Linked DNA regions of Solanum lycopersicum. The main gene of each other region encodes a partner of the protein of the gene in region 2 in a complex. Links are inferred from orthologs where the notes say so. Each region holds a gene or a part of one and is shown on either strand. Other genes may lie near its edges.

Evidence for each region.
Region 1: cleavage and polyadenylation specificity factor subunit 1 (region 2) and cleavage and polyadenylation specificity factor subunit 3-I share a complex: the UniProt entries of both Arabidopsis thaliana proteins name them as parts of the CPSF complex. The link is inferred for Solanum lycopersicum from reciprocal best matches to the Arabidopsis thaliana genes CPSF160 and CPSF73-I.

The regions. Positions count from the first base shown.
Region 1 is NC_090806.1:62,060,116-62,064,372, reverse strand, and holds the start of cleavage and polyadenylation specificity factor subunit 3-I, read right to left. Parts: upstream 2,813-4,257; 5' UTR 2,684-2,812; intron 1,614-2,683; exon of another isoform or gene 1,608-1,613; 5' UTR 1,607-1,607; coding exon 1,454-1,606; intron 1,370-1,453; coding exon 1,272-1,369; intron 1-1,271. UniProt on the Arabidopsis thaliana protein: Component of the cleavage and polyadenylation specificity factor (CPSF) complex that play a key role in pre-mRNA 3'-end formation, recognizing the AAUAAA signal sequence and interacting with poly(A) polymerase and other factors to bring about cleavage and poly(A) addition.
Region 2 is NC_090802.1:2,563,874-2,567,386, forward strand, and holds part of cleavage and polyadenylation specificity factor subunit 1, read right to left. Parts: intron 1,251-3,513; coding exon 1,105-1,250; intron 1-1,104. UniProt on the Arabidopsis thaliana protein: CPSF plays a key role in pre-mRNA 3'-end formation, recognizing the AAUAAA signal sequence and interacting with poly(A)polymerase and other factors to bring about cleavage and poly(A) addition.

The DNA.
Region 1 (4,257 bases), on a different chromosome or scaffold from region 2:
GGAAGGCAAAAGGAACAACCTAATCAGCCTTAAGAATAGAACCTTTTTTTGTTAGCCTTTTCGTGCAGACTTTCTTCTGTAAATGACACAAATTATATCACCGGTCTGCTCAGTGCCTTGCACTTTTTGTAAAGCTTCATCAGCAGATTCAAAGTGATGTTGCATATCTAAAAAATGTTAACCTTAACAAATATATAAGAATAATCAAACCCACAATTTTGTACTCAATAACAGAAAGATATGTTTAGCAATTGGCCGGGTGGGCAACACTTAGAAGAATTGTGATCCAAGATTCTTTTTCTCTAACTATGGCCATTCCTTTTAATCACTCTTCAATGACTTTGATGCATCTGTTCCCTGTCTGAACCATTTATAAACGAGTCAACTAAGTACTTCAAACCAATAGATATTTGTGCCCATCCAACATGTATGTTGTATTAAAAGCATGACTCCTAAACTTGAAAGTAAAATTATCAAAAGATCCTTTTAAAGCCTAAAAATACCTTATTTAAAAAACAAAACCCTGTCCTTATCGAAAAGGGCAAACAAAATGACGCATCCTTACAAAGGTTGCAAATGCACCGATAACTTCTTATATGAAGGGTTGTGTTCGTTCAAAAACTTTCAGTCTTAGTATGGATTTATACCTCTAAATGTGAAAGAAAATTTCCTCATACAAACATTCACTTCTTCTTTCCTCCTGGTCTTCTATTATTACTTATTTTTTTTAATTTTTATGACCGTGGTATGAGAGCCTAGTACGACGGGATACCTGTCATGTTCCACCCACAAAAGATACCAGGTAATTTTGTCCACCAAAGCTAGGAACAGATGGAAAGAATCGCCTGGTGTTTTGCTTGGATCAATAATCAAAAGGATAATCAGCATAATGTTTCACATTCCTATAATAGATACTACCTGAACATGTCTTCTCTTCCTCAGACATTCGCACAGACAAGTTGAGAAGCAGAGATAAGAGAAATAACGTCTTAACTCTTAATATAGAGAAACTAATCCAATCTGGACCAAAATTATGGAAATGCATCTAACACTCAACATTTAAAGCAGTACACCAAGATATCAACATTTAAAATTGCCCACCAAGAAAGAAATCAAAATGAAGAAAACGAAATAGAAATTGGTAGCCAGTCATCAAATGATGCTTGGAAAAAGAAAAGAGAAAAACTTGTGCTGCAGTGTCCAATTGAGATACAATATCCCAAACAATAAAACAAGCATCATATAACTGAGATCTGGCACAGAAAACTTACTGGGTAACAAGAAGAACATCAATAGATGAAGGATCAATTTCATCAAAATATGGTAAGGCAGACATGCCTGAGTAACCCGGATGTATGCCACAATCAAACTGCAAAAAACATCAAAAGTAATTAATCAAGTTCAGATCTTGTGGCCAAGAAAATATTTTTCGTAGAAGAACGACAAAGCCTACCATGATTGTTTTCCCTTTAAAAGTCATGAAAACACAGGACCGTCCCACTTCATTTCCAGCCCCTAAAGGGGTGATAACCAGTTTATCTCCGTCTCTATTAACTCCAGGACTAGGTCTCTTTAACGAAGACTGTGGCTGTCCCGTAGATGCCATTCTGACACTCAAATAACAAATAATTAGATTTAGAAAATTCTAATCATCGTGCAAGAGAAAATACCAAAAGAAATCCAAAAAATTATCTGGTTAAACCATCATTCAGCTTCATTATGACCAGACCAAACAGTAAATATCAATAAATTCATCAACTAAGCATCTATCCAAAATTCATTGTCAGCTATACCAATCCTCGATACCAAGCCAACACAGCTACCCAGATTGCAAAAGACAAAAAAATATGTGGTATTTGGGCCAGTTTTCCCGCACCTTGATTAAGTGCAAAAACATATTATATCAAGAACCAACTTTTTGGGGGTGTATTACTTCAAATAAAATAACTGAGATTTCTACTACATTTCATTTATTTTGAAAATGTACTATTTCATAAAGAGCTCGAATACGGAGTTACAAGTCAGCTTCATATAGTAAAACATTTTCGGCAGAAAATCGACATAGCATTGCTAGTGTAACTAGTGTATTAAGCAACTAAGCAAGTACATTGTCAAGTCATGTAGTAACCTTGATTTTAAATGCTAAAGGAGGTTATAAAGAGTCTTTAAGGTCTTCACAAGCCTCCTTCAGCTCACGGCATAAAGTTTGTTTTATTGAAATGCTACATATATTACACAAAGGAAAGCACAAAGATTGCGCAGAACATTACATCGAAAACCCAAAAGATCCCTGACTATGCATGCAGTAAATTTATGAACTATAAATGGACTCAGCTTCATTTACAAGTTCTATTTTACACCAAAAGGAAATCACAAAAAATACTACTCCCCCACTGTCGCATCAATTAAGAATCATCAGCTCTTTTACAGTATTAACTGATAAAAAAAATAATTAATAGCACTTATTCGAAAAAACGAAGCAGAAAAATGCAACTATAAACAACAACATCCGAACAATTCAATCATATCAACATTTGAAAACACTCGTTTTTTTGATTTTTTTTTTGAATATTTGAGCAGAAACCAAAGCAAATTAAAAATTAAAGAAGCGGATGGAAAAAAAAACAGATAAACCTAGAAGGTGATCAAAACGCATACAAAAAATGCAGAGAGAAAAACTTACTGAAATCGCAGAGGAACAACGCAGGTGAAGGATGGGAGGGAAAAACAAGAAGAAGTTAGGGCTCTTTGTTGATTGAGGGTAATATCGGAAAAAATTTACTAAAATCTCAAGAGTACTTAAAAAGTGTGTGTCTATTTTATTTTATTCAGGTTTTTCTCTAATGTCTATTTTGTTTTTTCCAGAGTAAAATTTTCTCTAATATTTTTTGATAAAATATTTAGTTGGAGTATTGTTTTATTTAAATAAAATACATTCAATTATATTTGTTCAGCAAAAAATAAATATATTTACTGTATTTAAATATTTAGAAATTATATATATTCAAATGCTTTAATAACAAATACCATTATCATATCTTCATATTTAAGATACGCATTTAATTTCAGACATCTTAATTTTAATTACAATATATAAACTCTTAAATTTTTATGCATTTGTAATTGATGATAATGTTGAAATTGTTTTATGCATTTGTAATTGATGATAATGTTGAAATTGTAAATAGTTAGTGGTAGAGCTATCAATATGGATTAGTTCACCTCATTTGGGTTAATTTATATAGATTTTGATATTTTATTGGTCAAATCGTGCTAGTCTATTTTTTCTGTGAGTCAAAAAATGGTCTGCCCAGCCCACAAGTACGTGGACTACATGCTTGTCAGGTTAGTCCACTTTTCTAAAAATTATATTTTTTTATAATTATTAAATTAAATTATAATTTAAAAATATAATTATAAATATTGACAGAACGTATTACATGATGTTAATATTATTACTTGTTAATTAAATCTACAAATAAAATTATCTTTATAATATTTATCAAGTTCTTTTTCAAGTAAAAGTGTAATATCTAAATAAAAATATTAAGCTTATTGTATTGGGAAAATTACATGGGATGGCAAACACTAATAGCTAATTATATTATAGGGGTATAGTTTAATTTATTTACCTTATATAATTATAGTTTATTTTTGTTTGTTATATTTAATGGGGTCCACAACCTATTATATAACCAATGGTATAAAAACATTATTTTCTAATTTTGTATATAATTATACACAAAACAATTTCCTCTCTCCTTTTCACATTCCAAATTTTTCTCCTACATTTAATACTCCAACTATCCAGTTTGAAATTCAAATCGTTGTCCAAAATTAGATTACTCCCTCCCGAAGTTGAAGTCAATTTCGTAAGTACTCCTTAATTTTAGTTGTTTACCTCTTTTCTTTTCTTTTTACTTATTCAAAATTTGTATATGTATTCTGTTTATTTTTTTCCATATATTTTGATGAAATAATCGATTTTTTGTTCGTGATAGATCTAAAATTGGTCACACAATGAATGAATCATATTCATCTTTGAGGATTACCAGAGGTATCCCTTTGCATGTCAATGTTGTTGACATTGTACCATCGTTTTCAATGGGGTTAACTCAAGATTTTGGGTTTGATGTAGGATCATTGGGAAAATCAAATCAAGTTATACAAGAACACACAATGGAAGAGCTTAGACCAAAGGAAAAAACGAATAGTACAAGGAAGAAGAAAGAGGAAAGCTGTAAACATTGAATCAGA
Region 2 (3,513 bases):
TGGTAACCCCCCTTTTTTCTAAAATGATGGGATTGCTATCCCATATAGACGGTGGGATAAAATAATCACATGGGGTATCCTAGCTTATCCTATCCCGCATACAAACGACCCCTTTAAAGAGGTAAAGTACTTTTGCATTATTCTCGTCAAATTTTTTTATTGAAATTTCATGATATATATTTGAATCATCAGCCTTTTAGTACCCGCTGTCCACCAAATCAACTCTCTCGTGATAAGTTGGAATCACATTTTCATTACCGAGGCCATGCTTGAAACATCTTGTGCTCCACACTATAGAACCTTAAGCTCAAAATTACTGTTTAACAGACTTAACAAAAAAAAGCAAACAAATCAAAATAAAATAAATTCTTGGTTCTTTTGTTAAGTAATGTGGTTTGTACTGCAGGAAACAAAAGATGAGAAATATTTGCCCCACAGGAAATGACTAATCAGTGGCAACAACAAAGTTACTCCGGGTTTAGGTTGTTTTCTTTTGTTTTTTGACAAGGTAACAAGTTGTATTAACATTTGGGTGGAAAAAAAAAGCATGTATACCAAAGGTATTCCAAAATGTAGAAAACTACAAAACAAAATGGTTTTCTACAAACTTCACCAATCTTCTACACAAACTGGTACTCCACGGATGCACCAAAAAGAAATTAGGGATAAGAGACTACTGCTCAATTTTAGAAAGTCCATCTCTATACCTTCAAAAGCTCTTCTATTAGGTTGTTGATATGAGGAAAATATTTTGAGGGAAATAATTGTAATTTGACTGACAAAAAAGAAAACACAATAAAGAAGGAAGACAAACAAGACCAGAATTAGTATATGAGCTCATCAGCTAAAGGTTGTCATCAAGTGTAATTACAGTGATACCTCAATGAAACGGAAGGATAGAACTTCTTAACTTAAGCAGCATTCTTGACCTTATTTCCCTCACCAAACCAAACCCCAAAATAGAAAGAACTGTGATACAGTCATCATCAAGAAATAGCTCTTACTGGAGTGATCTCCTTTCTTTGTTGCCTCTTCTCTCTCTCTCCTTCAAGCTAATAAGAATATATATAAATAATGCTGGCAACAAAGATCATTGTAACTTACAGTGGCTGACCATATCAGTGGATGCTGCTTCAACGTTGTACTAATACTAAAGGCAGAGACCATACAAGTATGGTGTTTCCAAGAGACGCGCCCAGACCAAGTGAGTTCCCTTTCATGAAGGATAACCATTACAGGCTCAATATAACCTGCATAAAGGCACATGTCAAAGTTCAAACTGGCAACAGTGGTAACTGCAGATGGTGGATGTGAGACATATAGGAGAAGAATATTATTGAATTGTGCGTCTACATTATTACATTGAGACCCTATCTACATTAGACTCATTTTCTAACTAGGACACTACATTATAATCCTTTTCCAAGTAGGATTCTATATACTATTTCTATACCTGTTCCTATTCTAAGTAGGTTGTACTAAAAACCATAATTACAACTTCTCAATAAAACAGGATATCTGAATCTAAAATCTAAATAGAGCCAAGGATCTCAATAATTGACCCAGTGTCGTCTAGGTACATCTGTTTGCACCAGAAACAAGAAAGTTTGATACGGTTCAATTTGATCTTCTGAAGATCACAACTTTTGCTCTCAAAACATCTATTGTTTCTCTCTCTCCAGATTGTCCACCAGATACATGCTGGGACAGACATGATTTTCCTGTATGGGTGAGGGTTGTTAAGAGAGTACGAAAGAAGATGGCTAATAGGTGATTTCTCAGCAGGACAGGAATGGACATATCATCCGATCGAAGCTTGCTGAGAAAAAGGATTTTCAAGATTCAAAAAGTTCCATGGTAAAAACACATTAAGTTTTGTGGGAGGGTTACCAAATGGAAGAGCTTGAGTTGCATTTTTTTGAAACTTGTAACATGTGTGTGACCCTGTGTATATAAATACATACTAGATATGCACCATAAAAGTGCTTCTTACAATTACAAAAACCCAAGCTTGCTTAAGACTACCCTTTCAGAAGGAACTTATCATGACAACTATTGATTCAGTCTCCTCTACATAGTTTTTTTATGACTATGGTGTCCGCACCTCAACTAATTCAACAGGATATTTGTCATCTCCCACCAGGTACAAGGTAACTATGTCCACCAAGGCTAGAATATATCGGAAGAATCACCTACTGTTTTTTGTCTCCGCTGAGTTTTGAACCTCTCTACATAGTTTCTTTCCACCAAAAATGAAACAAAAAAAATACCATTCATCTTGACTCTCTGCACAGAACTGTTTTAGTCTTTCAAAATTCTATATCTCCTCTCCTTCCAAATTGTCCACCGTATACAAGTTGGGACAAGTTTCCACCACTTCTTTTGTCACACTGCACTACCATCATAGTTCCAGCACTTCAATATATCACAGCTTGTTGCTAGCATAGACCATCTTAGTCCTACCAAGTTCAAAAAAAGTTGCCACGATTGTCCATCTAGAGGAGTTAGGTCAATGTAGAAATGGACGACTATTATTTTCTCTGGCTTCACCACACATGCGACATCCAGAGTATAGATGAAATCCCCTTCTTGAAGTTTCCTGAGTGAGACATGCTTTTCTTGCTACAAGCCAAGAAAAACAGCAGACTTTGTAAGGGGCCTTGGTCTTCCAGATGAACTTCCATGGCGACGGGTCAAATGTGCATTTTCCCTATTCTGGTAGTTGTATGCAGATTTGACGTAGTAGATTCCATCACTTCCAGGTTTCCAAAATAGCCGAAAGTACCAGTTTTTCCAACAAGCAACTTGTCAACAGAGAAGATTTTTGAGTTTTGAAGACCATCCCATGGTTCAAAATGGCTGAATTTAAACAGAGTTTTATCCGACAATTGGTAGCTGCTGTCTAAGCTGTCAAAAAAATCTTTAAACATTCCTTTGAACTCAACAGATTTGTGACTTTGTCAGAAAGGGAGAGCACCGGAGCTTCATTCACTCAACTCATTTTCTTTCTTTTTTTTCTTTTCAGATCTTGACTTTTTTCCCTTTGCTAACCTGCTTTTGTATTATTGGTTGCTTCTGCCATAGCGAGTTGCATTCATGCATTTTATGTTGTCTAGAATAAGAAAATATGTGTTCAATCGGAACATTTTCAGTATTATTCAGGTATTAAATAGGTCGAGTCTTTAGTTGAGGTCTCTAACTGAAATATCCTGCCAAGTTTAGGGGCTGCCTATGCATTAGGCCAGTAAAATAATTAGATAGGAAATGATTAAGATTATGAAAGAAATAGAGGTCAATTCTGTTACCTTTTGTCAAGAAAAAAAAAATAGAAGTCAATTAATTTTTTCTCGTCAAATAGAGTTCAACAATATCAATTTCCATTGTGACAACAACAATAAAAAAAATATTGTAACCAAGATATCCCTGATGACCAGCTGGCACACAATCCAAAATTTGGAGGATATTGGGTCCACCCCTCTACCCTCTTCCACTTAAATACCATGTTTTTGGTTC